Linked DNA regions of Saccharomyces cerevisiae S288C. The protein of the gene in region 3 purifies or fractionates together with the protein of the main gene of each other region. This does not show direct contact. Each region holds a gene or a part of one and is shown on either strand. Other genes may lie near its edges. The genes, in order: RPL17A, ERB1, RPF2 and NOP15.

Evidence for each region.
Region 1: the proteins of RPF2 (region 3) and RPL17A purify together in Saccharomyces cerevisiae (affinity purification with western blotting; 5 studies listed by BioGRID, with this or other methods). This does not show direct contact.
Region 2: the proteins of RPF2 (region 3) and ERB1 purify together in Saccharomyces cerevisiae (affinity purification with mass spectrometry; 7 studies listed by BioGRID, with this or other methods). This does not show direct contact.
Region 4: the proteins of RPF2 (region 3) and NOP15 purify together in Saccharomyces cerevisiae (affinity purification with mass spectrometry; 7 studies listed by BioGRID, with this or other methods). This does not show direct contact.

The regions. Positions count from the first base shown.
Region 1 is NC_001143.9:107,559-110,651, reverse strand, and holds RPL17A (60S ribosomal protein uL22 RPL17A), read right to left. Parts: upstream 1,384-3,093; coding exon 1,075-1,383; intron 769-1,074; coding exon 523-768; downstream 1-522. Other genes in the region: CCAAT displacement transcription factor COY1, read left to right, coding at 1-188; ribose phosphate diphosphokinase subunit PRS1, read right to left, coding at 2,053-3,093. UniProt on the Saccharomyces cerevisiae protein: Component of the ribosome, a large ribonucleoprotein complex responsible for the synthesis of proteins in the cell.
Region 2 is NC_001145.3:367,594-372,467, forward strand, and holds ERB1 (ribosome biogenesis protein ERB1), read right to left. Parts: upstream 2,925-4,874; coding exon 501-2,924; downstream 1-500. Other genes in the region: CSM3 (Csm3p), read left to right, coding at 1-341.
Region 3 is NC_001143.9:591,006-594,233, reverse strand, and holds RPF2 (rRNA-binding ribosome biosynthesis protein RPF2), read left to right. Parts: upstream 1-1,693; coding exon 1,694-2,728; downstream 2,729-3,228. Other genes in the region: NUP133 (Nup133p), read right to left, coding at 1-1,409; MTD1 (methylenetetrahydrofolate dehydrogenase (NAD(+))), read right to left, coding at 2,877-3,228. UniProt on the Saccharomyces cerevisiae protein: Required for biogenesis of the 60S ribosomal subunit.
Region 4 is NC_001146.8:417,229-420,140, forward strand, and holds NOP15 (rRNA-binding ribosome biosynthesis protein NOP15), read right to left. Parts: upstream 1,261-2,912; coding exon 598-1,260; downstream 1-597. Other genes in the region: CYB5 (Cyb5p), read right to left, coding at 1-74; YNL108C (uncharacterized protein), read right to left, coding at 1,786-2,598; YEATS domain-containing protein YAF9, read left to right, coding at 2,870-2,912. UniProt on the Saccharomyces cerevisiae protein: Involved in the biogenesis of the 60S ribosomal subunit. Required for pre-rRNA processing and cytokinesis. Associates with the precursors of the 25S and 5.8S rRNAs.

The DNA.
Region 1 (3,093 bases), 480 kb from region 3:
TTTACTGTATCGGTTTACACGGACTCGTATTCATGATGAGCATGTATGTGATTAATATTAGCGGCTACATGACACCTGAGGTTGGTATAGTACAATCGGCAAAGTCTTCTTCAAATCTCAACGGAGGACTTGGGGGAGCAGAAAAAGTAGCTGCAGGCGTTGGTTCAGTTCATGGCATAAATCGATAGATGCCTTTATTCACTAAATTCTAATAGCTCGGTATGAAGAACGCACACGTTCCGTACTAGAGAGGGAATGAGTAACGATTGACATATTGATATAGACAGTAGCATTTCTTATTATCTTATCTACGGGATTTTTTCAGTTTATGAGCATTTCTTATACCTTTGTTCATTATAAAACTATGTTCAATACTTTGAACGTAGGATTATCCGATATAATATAATAATATTAATAAAAAACTTATTTTAGAGTTATGTGATATGACGGGGAGATAAAATTACATAGATAAAAGATTAAAATTAACAGAGAATTATATTATCATTATTTTTCATCTTCTATTTAAGCAGCAATACGCTTTTGGGCGGCGATTCTACCTCTTTGTCTAGAAGTCAATCTAACGACCTTCTTTTCAGCAGCCTTGGCGACAGCTTCTTCCTTTTCAGTGACAACTAATTCAATGTGGGATGGAGAAGATTCGTACTTGTTGATTCTACCGTGAGCTCTGTAAGTTCTTCTTCTTTGCTTTGGAGCTTGGTTAACTTGGATATGAGAAACGTACAATTTAGTAGCATCCAAACCTTTAGCCTGTAATAAAAATAGTTATGTTGTTAGTAAAAAAAATTTTGATCCGGTTAAGTAATTGAAAAAGATGAAACTAGCGGAAAGAAATATCAAGTTTTCAATATTTTTCTAACAAAATCATAAACACGTAATGGTAATCCTTAGTTGCTTTTCAGCTTGACAGTTCATTCCAATCTGGTAATTGTGACTTTCTGAATAATTCATTTATCATATTCAATTTCCCTTGATCATAATGGATTTTCCGCGCATTTTGAATTTCAACTCATTCTTGTTTCATCTGGTACTAAACATATAATATTCTTGACATACTTCAGCGTTGGCAGCGGCGTTTTGCAACAAACCTTGAACGAACTTAACAGACTTAGCTGGCCATCTAGCCTTGGTGACACCAAATTCCTTACCTTGAGCAGTTCTACCGATGGAAGAGTTAAATCTTCTGAAAGGAATAGCTCTTTGGTGGTCCAAAACTTGTTCCAAGTATTTTTGAGCCTTGGTCAATTCCCAACCGTTAATAGCTTGAGCAGTTTCTCTGGTGTTCTTGAAAGAAACACGCAAGTAGGAACCACGAGCAGAAGCGGATTTAGCAGGGTTAGTGGAAGTAGCACCGTATCTAGCCATTTTAATCTATTAGTAGTTCTTGAGGACTCTTTGTTTGCTCTTTCGAATATAGCACTGAAAACGTTAGTAGTTGTTTTATGCTAGCCGTTGAAGCTCTAATGTTAGAAATTTCCATTGCAGTGAGAAAGCAAATCGAGACCATCCCTGTCTGCGCCCATAGAGCTAGGCCGGTGGGCTTCATTCTCCCGCCTGGCAAAGAAGCAAAGTCCAGTAGACACGCGGGAGCGATTTTCTTCCGGCAGGTCCGCCCTTACCAAATCGGTTCCTTTTTCACGGAATTTGATTACTTTCAGCATCTTACTCGGAAGTATTTTTTCAAAAAATGGAGCCAACTAAATGTACGGATGTTGTAATGTGTTTGGATGATAATAGTCTTGAGTTCACATTAAATGAAAAGCCGCCGGAACCTAGAGCATTGCATAAATCTATATAATTTACTATTGCAGAGCAATAAAATGAGGAAAATGGCTAACCTGTCAAAATTTCATAGATGATTTGATAAAGGTTCTGTTTTTTCCATGATACATAAAACATAATAAATGGTTTAATTCACCCAAATTCCTATAATTTATACTCTTGCAGATTCACTGAAATCTGGCAAACATACAAAGTTTTTTGATAATCTATGTCATATTTAAGAACTAAAATATTGCGCACACTCTCTTCTGTTTACAGAGCTGCCAAAGAGTCAAATAAAACGGAAATACTCTCACCATAATGATCACGACGGATACATTCTGCGAAAATTGGAGAAACATCGATAGTAACCAATTTCTTGGACCCAGCTATGCGTTCGCCAGAAATCGGATATGTATTTGTGACCACAATTGTGTCAATGGCATCGGACTTTTCAAGTTCTTCCAAACAGTCTCCAGTGAATATACCGTGAGTAGCAACAACATAAACCTTTTTGGCACCACAATTTTGCACCAAATGTTCAGCAGCGCTAATAAATGACCCAGGTCTATCAATCATATCATCTAGAATGATGGCAGAGCGACCACGGACGTTTCCGACCAATGTAATCAGTTGTTCCCTATAGAGAACTGGGATTTCCTCTTCGTCTTCGGAGTCGACAGCATCATATGTACCGCCCAAGCCATGCGAGTCTAAGCCATCAATAGAATGCAATTCGCTGTCAGATTCTAAGATAGCGTCTTCATCATCGTCTGCCTCATCGTCACCGATAACGTGGCCGTTACGGATCCTAGCAGTTTGAATACCGTTACTTAAAATAATGTTTTCCTCCTCATTTGGATGGTCACCTTGTCTGATGATCGGTCTATTTTTCCTCAACATTGATTGCTTTCTCAACTTTAGTTGTTGCAAATCCTTGTTTTGAGAATACAGATCCTTAGAACGACGACGATCAGTATGGATCATAGCAAAGTTGATCTTCAAAGAATCCGCCAGGGCTGTAACTCTTTTAGTACCACCTGGATTCTTAGAGACAACTACTGCATCTTCATAGTCTTCAACATTTTCTCTAATCCATTTCGCTAAACTAGGGCCCCCGTATAGGTTATCGACTGGTTTGGTGAAAAACCCCTGCATTTGAGAAGCATGAAGGTCCATAGACACAACATGATCAGCGCCAGCCATGACCAACAGATTGGCCAACATCCTTGCAGTAATAGCGCCTCTGTGTCTCTTCATTTTACATTGTTTAGAGTAAGGAAATTGAGGAATGACTGCTGTAATTTTCCTAGC
Region 2 (4,874 bases), on a different chromosome or scaffold from region 3:
GAGGACGAGTTTTGGACGAACGTGGGAATAATGAAACGGTACTTAACAACGTTGTGCCGCCTAAGGAAGATTTGGATGCATTATTGAAGACATTCAGGGTACAAGGGCCCGTTGGCCTTGAAGAAAATGAGAAGAAGCTCTTATTAGGATGGCTAGATGCGCATAGAAAAATGGAAAAAGGCTCTATGACTGAAGAAGACGTTCAACTGATTCAAAGTTTGGAAGAGTGGGAAATGAATGATATAGAGGGACAACATACTCATTATGATTTATTGCCAGGGGGAGATGAGTTTGGCGTAGATCAAGATGAGTTGGATGCTATGAAGGAAATGGGCTTTTAGCAATGTCATTGAAGGTAATAATCCAAACGTGCGTGTGGGCATCTATACATATAGGTTTATATATATTGTGTAAATAAAGCTTGTAGAAAGAGCCTGGTTCGAGTGTTTGATTTTTTCTTCTTGGGCGTTATTATACAATATCTACTTCAAATTATTTATCTAGGTGGTCCATAAGCGAGCCGTATTATCAGCACCGGCAGAAAACAGCCAAGCTTCCCTCGGATGCCAAATAGCATCAAGAACACCCAGACTATTGATTACTTTATGACCGGTTAGTTTCTTTAGTGGCACAATCATCGGATTTTTCATCATGTCATCATAAACAGTGGCATGGAAAACATGTATGGTACCGTCATCAGCGGCAGAGCTGAATAGAGGTAACTTTTTGTGGAAATTCACACTTCTGACGGCTTTTTCATGATATCTTAGTGTCTTGTAAGGTGTGCTAGCCAAATCCAGGTCGTGCCATAAAACTCTCTTGTCAAACGATGACGCAATTAAATTATCACCCCTTGGGTGAATATCGATTTTCGATAACCAACGGGCACCAGGCAACAGTTTCTTGACCAATATTTGTTGAGATAAATCATAAATTCTGACATATCTTTGGGAACAGACAAATAATTGAGGTTTAAAAGGATGGAACTTCGCATCCATAATAATGCCCTTCGATTTTTTGAATGGGGATTGGGTTAAATGCTTGGAAACTTGGTGAATCAAAACAGAAGTGTTACCAGAGTCAGGTTGAACAGTGACAAAGTAATCACCTTTTCTATGCCATGAAAGCTTTTTTACTGTTTTTTTGCAAGAAATAGTGATACAAATATCCTTTTCTAGTTGCTTTTGAGAAGGCTTGTTCCATTGGGCTACTTGTTTTTTTACAGCATTCTTAGCAGATTCATTCTCTCCATCTTCATCGCCATCACCATTCTCGTTCACTTCTAGGTTAGATTTTTTAACAGTCCCAAAAGTATCGTAGCCAAAACCATCTTCAATCTTAGTTTTGCCGTTATTTTCAATATCGTAGCCGAATATTGGTGGTACTATTAAATGAATGTTTTCACCAACAGCAACGGCGAGAATACCATTATTAGCATCAGGATTCCATTCAATGCATTCAATGTGGTAATCTGGGTTTTCCTCGTCATCGATTAAAGTAGTTCTATAAACTTCTCTACCAGTTAAAATTTCCCATACCCTGACTGTTCCGTCATCAGATCCTGTTGCTAGCCATAATCCAGAAGGATCAATGGATAATGTGCGTACTTTTCCTTTGTGACCAGCGTATATTGTTGAGCAACGAATAGGGAAGGGTCTTAAATCCTTGGGAGAGGGAAGTTCTGGAATTAGAGAATTAGGATCAATATTCAATTTGTTTTTACGGACACGAGGAGCTAAATATAAATCCAAAGATCTTTCAAATCTTTCCCTAATAGATTCACCGTAACCAGGGACCTTTCTTAAGGCAGAATACTTTTGAGGTATGAAGTTTCTTTCTCTTTCACTATATTCAGTATTTTCCCAGGCCTCCTTTTCTTCAGGAGACAAAAGATACTCTTCTGGTGGATTATAACTCTCTTCATTAGTTGGTGGAGGTAATTTTGGTGCCCTTAGATGCATTACATGATCATTTGTTTCCGTAGAATCACCCCATAAATCGTATTGATAGTTTTCAATTTTTTCCTTTTCTTTCATTTCCTTTAATTTTTTAGGAGGAATAATACGGCCCTCTCTGATAGCTCTTACAATTTTCATAACTCTCTTGGCTTCGTTTTTGGATGGAACAAATCTTCTTTTTGGCTCCGGAACAGCAGTTAATGGCATCACTTCTTCGTGTCTCGTGAACCAATCGATTAACGGTTCGTATGGATTTATGCTATCATCAGTTTGTTCGTTCCTTTGGATTTTGGAAATAAGTTCTAATTCCTCTTTGGTTAAGTTCAAACTTGAACCGGAATTCTTGTCCAGTAAACCAGTCCAGCCTTCAGGTAGCTCGATAGAATCCAACAGTTGATCTAAAGCAGAACCCTTGGCAGGTCTCATAATCCTTTTACCGTTGATATCGTATCCAATGTGTGGCATTTCATCGTATGCAGAAAGTGGAATATTACCAATGGTATTTTGCGTTTCGGCATCACTATCATCGCTATCATAAACTGGATTAATTTCAGGTTTGATAATTCTATCACTGCCATCTGCATATTTTGAGTAAATATTCGGATCAACGATCGTTTGCAATTTCACACCCGATAATCTGTCTGTTAAGGAAGTTGTGTCGTCTGAAAACTCAGAACTGTCATAGTCCTCTTCCCCATCACCTTCTTCTTCGGCAAGCAGTTTGTTTAATTCAGCATCGGAGTCATCATCAGAATCATCTTGGGCTTCTTTATCAGAAGATGATTCCTTTTCTTCAACGGCAGACTCGTATTCGTCATCATCCTCGTCACTCTCACTTGCTTCCGCATCGATCAAACCGTCAACGGATAAAAGCTTGTCCTCATCTTCCTCGACATCAGATTCTTCGCTAGCTGCTCTCTTTTTCGACATCTTTGCCTCGGTAGTTTTGTTGTTCTTAGCCATCATTGACCTAGTTATGTTAGAACAGATTTAATACAGTACCTTTCTTCGCTAGGATCTATATGCGAATATATCACATATGTAAATTATAAGCTCATCGCAAAACCAAAAAAAAAAAAATTTTCAATAATTTTTCACTAATCTTCAAAAACAAATGGGGTAACCCGTACAAGAGTTATTAAAACCCAAAATGACAAAATCGCGACAATTCAATCCTACTTAATTAGCAATAACATACTAGCGGTAGAGCTACTATCACATGTTGAACCTTGAATGCTCAATTCATTGTACTCAATACTGCTATCAAAAGAAAAAAAATGTATTAATTATATTCTTGTCAAAATCAATTTTACACTATAAGAGGAAAATGTTCTTCAGTCCTAGTAACATTAGTTTTCTCCCTTTGCTAGAGACTTTACATAATATCCTAGAAGGTAAAATTCGATAATACAGCAGTAAAGTCGTATATTGGTAGCAATCCTTGGTGACGCTGACTTTTTTTTTTTGTAATTTTATTGTTTAGTTCATGATAAAAAACTTCAAATCACTTTTAATCTGGTAGACAGAGAAAACAAATCGAAACGAAAATAGAGAACTACGAATAAAAAAATATAAGTGGAGAAGATCGTCACTACGCATTAAACAATATTGATCGCTCAATGCCAGTACTGCGCGTAAAAGTTTAGTAACTTAACGATTTAGGCACAATTTGAGAAAAATTTCGCCCTGCAGTAAGTATGTTATTCAGTACGATATAAAGCTGAGGTTTTATGCTGGCAACGTTCAGATTTTTTAGGTTATCAGCAATGTTAAAATATTAAATAGGATACTTTTATTGTTTGAGACCACCCTCAATGCCAGATATGTTAAACGCTTTTTTCTGGAGTGAGGTATCATAGAAAAAGGCTCGAGTACATCAAGCACTTAAAGGTTCAACACTCTACTGTTACTTCTTTAAGCTAAGCTATTCATACATAATAGTCCATCAAAGTGGCTCAAATTGCGCATACAGTGTAAAAATGCGTTCAGGGAATAACGATGTCAAGCAGCGTGTGAAAATTGGACACGTTGAATAATAAACTTCCTGGAAACCGTCGCGCGCCACTGCTGTCAGAAAATAGTAGACTACTTAATTTTCAATTCATATTTAGCCTGCTTTTTGATCTATGAAATCGCCCACTCTAAATCAGCGGTGTTTTTGCACGGTTTGTAATTTTAACTTCATTATATGTATTATTCGGTGACTTCACTAAAAAAGAAGGATCTATGCAATATTCTTATCTTCTATTTTTTTTCTTTTCGATTTTTGAAGTTAAACCTTCGTAATGAACAGATTCGAACAGTATACAGCTGATGACAATTACATGTTAAACTTTCATTGATGATAATGGCACGCACTCCACCTGTTAAAGAGGCAGAACGAAGAACCTTTGCTTATAACATAGGTCAGTGTATACTGGATAATAGTATCGAATAACCAGCATAATATTTTCTCTGGAAATACCTTTAAGGGGTTTTTAGAAGAAAAACAAATCCTAGTGCAACTTGCAAGTCATCAAAAATAATCTATCTTATCTCTATATATATATTTGTGTATTTTATATTTTATGACAAAGCTAGAAATATAAAATCAGATACCGCAATAGAAGATATTTCAAATAATAATACCAATCTCATAGCTCAAAACAGGCACTAAGGGAATACTGAAGAAAGTAATGTCTAGGAGTTAGTATAGCTTGAAGTTGCCATCGGTGTCATTTAGGTAGATCTATCTAGATTACGCGCAGCCCTCAGAAAAGCAAGTGATTTCCGAAGTTTCAACCTACCCAGACTATTCACATAAGGTTAATTTATGATTGAACAGTTCAAATAAATCTGCGCCATTCATGAAGATGATTCGATACCGCAATATGCTGCTAAAGTGCTAAAAAAATGATTTCGCCCAGGATCGAACTG
Region 3 (3,228 bases):
TTCGTTAAAACATACAAAGATTTTGAGTCGTAACCAGAACCAATTATATCAATGTCATTTCTAAGGCTAACAATATCTTCCCACTTTCTTCTCATTGAATAGCTAGAGTCCAATTTTGAGTTCACCTGAGTAATGACAACAGCATTGGGGAACATTACCAAAATGGAAGTTACCTCATTGGTATCGTTAGCATTCTCCATCTGAGGTATAAATATCTTAGGCTTAAACTTTGTGTCGGTTATTGACTCCATAAAAGTGTTCAATCTATAAGTGGAAAAAATAGTAAAACTATTAGAAGAAGAATCGAAGATAATCGTGGAAAGAATATAATATGTTTCATTGCATGAACTGTCGTAAATAGATGACAGGAAAAGTTGTGAACTTTCATCTTGTAATGGATGAGAGTCCCAAATCTTCAACGTACCATGAGCAAATGGATACAAATCCTGGAGCGACTCTAAAATGGCTTCGTAAATGTTTACATCAATCAATTTTGTTGGATGGGAATTCGTGGCAGACAACTGCCATGTTTGAAAAATTCCTTTGTTAGTAGTAATATATACTAACCTTGTCCCCTTACCGAGGATAGGTCCATTTCGTAATGAGACAACTGAACTGTTTGTATTGAAAATTTTGGACCAGATACCCAATTTGAAAGGTTTATTTAATAGTTTGCCTAACTTCAGTTGAGGTTTACCCATGGAATTTCTAATGGTTATAAAAAATATTCTGCCCATATTTGTAGAAAGCACTATACCAGCAGGTTCGCAGTTTAACATTAGGTCACACTTCTCTCCGCCCGAAGAGTTGATGGGTAATTCTAACTCGTGAGAGAATTTTTCAGATAACTTAAAGTTCAAATTATTTATGGAGTTGATATCCTCATAATATATCGCTTTGCTACCTTTGATAATGATAAGCCCTCCGGTTTCGTCCTGATCATTAGGATTCAGTGCTAATGGAGACTCATCCATTGTAGCAGGGAAAGTTAGTATGCACCTGGGCGCGACTGCTATTTCATCATTATCATCAGAACGAAATGGTACAGTTATATAGGGCGTATCCTTTTGAGTGGAGTGAATATTCCAGATGTAAACCTTCTTGTGGTCATTGACTAGTCCATATCCAATTTGCATATCGATATATCCATTCAATTCGTCATCGTTACTGAATCCGCTACTGTAGTCTGTTTGAAGGGTTTTTACTATGTATCTGTTATTTTCTGTGAAAACCTTGGAATTATCAAAGTGCGAATGTAACCTTAACTGTTGCTGCTCCATGGAAATGTCCATTAGAGAGGCCTGGCTTTCCTCTTCATAAGACAACTGCGCCAGGGATTCGTTTTCAACCACCGCAATGGGTACGCTAAGTTCCTTCCGCAAACGAAGATGTACTTTTTTTTCACTCATATGGCTATCCTAATGTACTTCACTTGAATTGGATGTAACAGTATGCTCGAGCTCCTCTAAACCTTATTCCTAAATGGTGTATGTTTTGGTTTATTCTGCTATTTTGATTCCTAAATCCTCAAATATATCGTTTTATACGATTTGAAAATTTTTCATTTTTTTGCGATGAGCTAAGGATCGAATTTTCTTATAGTGTAATGCATTATTGGAAAGTGATTTGGTATATCGATGAGTTGTATTGAAGTTATCATATCCAAAAGCGCAGGAGAACACTGGCAGAAAAAATGATTAGAACCGTAAAACCCAAGAATGCAAGAGCCAAGAGAGCTTTGGTAAAGAGGGAAGCTAAGTTGGTAGAGAATGTCAAGCAAGCGCTATTCATTCCAGGGCAAAGCTGTAACAAGAATCTGCACGATATTATGGTAGATTTGAGTGCCTTGAAGAAGCCAGATATGAAGAGGTTCAATCGTAAGAATGATATTCATCCTTTCGAAGACATGTCGCCACTAGAGTTCTTTAGTGAAAAGAATGACTGTTCATTGATGGTGCTGATGACAAGTTCCAAAAAGCGTAAAAACAACATGACCTTTATACGTACATTTGGCTACAAAATATATGATATGATTGAACTAATGGTTGCAGATAATTTCAAGTTGTTATCTGATTTTAAGAAATTAACATTTACTGTAGGGTTGAAGCCTATGTTTACATTCCAAGGTGCTGCATTTGATACACATCCCGTATACAAGCAAATTAAATCTTTGTTTTTAGATTTCTTTAGAGGCGAATCTACTGATTTACAGGATGTTGCGGGATTACAACATGTCATTTCCATGACCATTCAAGGTGACTTCCAAGATGGTGAGCCATTGCCGAACGTTCTATTCCGTGTTTACAAATTAAAAAGTTATAAAAGCGACCAAGGTGGTAAGAGATTACCACGTATTGAATTGGTGGAGATTGGGCCACGTCTAGATTTCAAAATCGGCAGAATTCATACTCCAAGTCCAGATATGGTCACTGAAGCTCACAAGAAGCCAAAACAATTAGAAATGAAGACAAAGAAGAATGTAGAATTAGATATCATGGGTGATAAATTGGGTAGAATCCATATGGGCAAACAAGATTTGGGTAAACTACAAACAAGAAAGATGAAGGGTTTGAAATCCAAATTCGACCAAGGAACTGAAGAAGGTGATGGAGAGGTAGATGAAGACTACGAAGATGAAGCGTCGTATTCGGATGATGGACAAGAATACGAAGAAGAGTTCGTCAGTGCCACTGATATTGAGCCCTCTGCTAAAAGACAGAAGAAATAAGACCCATAAACTTTGTATATTATATGATAATCTAAGAGAGGAGAATTCTATATGTATGTAGTAAGTACATTACAAATGATCTTTCTTTTTTTCCCTTATTTTTATGTATTCTGTTTTACCTATGCTTATTTGAACAGCCACAAATGTTCTATTTTTCTTTAGACAGTTCTACGTTCCTTACTAAACGTAACATGTTTCTCAACAACATTGCAATGGTAACTTTACCAGTCATTGGAACGTAAAGAGAAGCTTTTTCCTTGACATCATCGCTAAAATTTTTGGTGCATGCAAAATTGATGCAGACGGCACCTTCTTTGATGTATTCGGTGGGGAATTTGTAATTTTCACTAGGGACACCAGTGATGACCACATCTGAATCAAGAGAACACTTTTTCAACAGATCTTCAGAGTACTCCCCAAGGTCTTCCACATGATGCTTGTTTAATTTCAAACTTTCACCACGGGTGAATTTTTGAATGTTGTTAACGTCCACAGAGTAT
Region 4 (2,912 bases), on a different chromosome or scaffold from region 3:
TCATCGATGATAATCCAGAAATTTTCTGGGCCATTGTGTTCGGCAACTTCTTGGTAACTGTAAACTTTAGGCATGATTGTTTGATATTTTATGTTGTAGTTGATTGATTTTCTTTACTATGAAGAAAATGAAAATCGAATTTAAATATTAACGAGGAAGCCTGAACGAAAATTTTTGAGAAAGTTTCAAAAGCTTCTTGTTCTTTATATAGTTATTGGAAAAAGGACAATATATATATTTGTTATTTATTGATATAATAACAATGCTTCTCAAATATCGCTTTTTGGCCACGAATGCGACAAAAATTTTCTCGTTATGCTAACCTCTCTCACTATCTCGATCTCGTATAGCTTTCTTTTTTGCAGCTATTGTTCTTTTTCTGGGCCGTTAAATTTTTCATCCGGAAACTCCAGGCTATTACCCGCTCCGTGATTTTGGTCGTTGAATCTTCGTAAAAGCAATCATGTAAATATCATTGAATACGGACAAACGGAACTATATTGCTGGAATTAATGATATAAATGGTTTCCCAAGTTTGCTATATCTCCTATTCTATCTTACAAAACCCTTTTCTCAGGGTGGATGAGAAGTGACAAGTCACCATTTGAATTCGATACCTGACTTGGCTAATTTTTTTATCCTTTCTTCATGTTTTTGCTTCATGTTATCCTTTAGCTGTTTTACTGGTTTGGTGATACCTTTCTCTACTAGAACTCTCTTCTTGTATTTGTACAATTTCTCGATTTTAGCTCCTTTTGGTAATACACGCACTTGTAGTAGATGACCCATCAACAAGTAATTGTTCATAGATTCTTGGGCGATCATTGCATCCTCTTTATTAACGAATTCTAAGAAGCCATAATGTCTGGAATTTCCAGTTTTCTTATTACGTGCTAATCTCACTTCTTTTAAATCACCGAATTGAGCAAAATATTTACTTAATTCCTTTTCGTGGAACCCATGTGGCAGTCTACTCACATAAATAATCCCAGAATACTCTTCAAGTGTCTTTTTATCTTTCGACTTTTTTTCATTAGCCTGCTTCTTAGGATTCAATCTTTTAATCTTGTGTGTACCGCTCTGCTCATCATCAGAAGCGGCTAAACCTTCAATTTCATCTTCATCTTTTTCGTCTTCTTCATCTGAACTGCTAGACGATGTTTCTAGAGCCAACTCTTCTTTCTCCTGTATAGGTTTTTCTTCGGTGGGTTGTTTGGTTACTGTTTCCTTGGTGGAAGTTTTGCTTGTTGACTTTACCATATCGATCTCTTTCCTCTGTTATTTTATCTCTAGAACTTAACCCTATAGAAAAGGTAGTTAATGAAGTTAAAAGTAATGGTAATCGTCTTCAAATTAAGTGATGAGATGAGATGCGATGCACTACTTCATTTTTTCTTATGGCGGAAAATTTTTCATAGTGAAAAGAAACAGGCAAAATCTGGGGGGTAACCGCATACGTCTCTGCTATGCCGTCTGTAATGAGGATGCTAAAGTTGCAATAGCTGCTATGCACATTAGAAAGGGTTTAGCAGGATAATGAGTTTTCAGAGATAGCACAAAACTCGAAAGGTTTCGGTACTACTACCTAGACAGCTCATCTTTCAATCGTTGAACCTTGAATTTTGAAGTTTAGGGATATTAAAAGATACTGTTAATTCTATCAATTTACACTAGACTTTGACATATGTATATATATATATATATTCACACAGCTTCATCATGAAATAAAAATCAAATGCAGAAGTGTATAATGAGAAGTACAGAATTCAAGACTCACTTTAGTTTTCACTCCATTTTTAGTTTTCCGCTCTCAGCTGCTCTTCTCGCTTTGATATCAGCGTCTGAACCAGCCTCAAAGGCATTCATAAACGTCCAATTCATTTCTTCCCCATTAGTTAAAAAGGAGGTGTTGCCATTCATTGTAAGTTTCCACTCTCTCTCTTCAAATGGTATACTTTCATTTTCTCCTTTCACCAGCTCAAATTTATCAATAGCACAACTTCCATTTCTTATAAAGGTGCCTTTGTTATCAATGGGCTCTTTGGCACTGGAGAATTTCAACAAGTTCATACCAAGAGCGGATTTAGTGGCTGCGTGGGTAACTATCATAATGGTCTTTACATTTGGAAATTTTCTCTCCACTCTGTCAATAAAGACAGGCCAGAATTTATGGCACCTCTCAAAAATATCTTCTTCTGTTTCACCCTTATTACTAGGAATAATACTAGGTTCCCAGTCTGGAGAGATCATGCTTGGAAAAAACTTACTCATAACTTCATGAGTAGCAGGCTCCGGGATAATGGGTCTATCAGGCTTATACCATTCTCCTACACCACGATCGACATATAATGGAATCTTTAAAGCCTCCACTGTGGGTTTACTAGTTTCTAAACAGCGGTAAAATGGGGAGGAGAAAATCATTTCTGGTTTGACATCTAATTTAGAGATATAGTTCGCCAGTTCATGTGCCTGTTCAACACCGTGTTCCGAAAGCGGGACATCGTTATCAATACCGGTGGGCGGTGGTGGATATGGTCCCTTTGGTAGCCAGTTTGACCTGTAACCATGTCTGGCAATGTATATATTTTCGATAGCCATAATTTATAGCACTATTTTAACCTCTTGTACAACTAATTGAACGTCTTACATATTGAACGAAACTGCTTTACTTCTAGGATTGTTTTCAAAGCTTTTTTATAAATTTCGAAATATCCGCTATTCGGATGACGTGATGACGCTTCGGCACCATTGATTATTTTTCCAGAGTTTAGATGTCTTCTATGTGCAACTGAACAAGTAGCCTTCGAAAGCTAGAGGGATAGATACATTACTTGTGACCACCTATTTACGGCATCACAAAGAAAGCGAGATGGCTCCGACAATAAGCAAAAGGATAAAAACTCTCTCCGTGA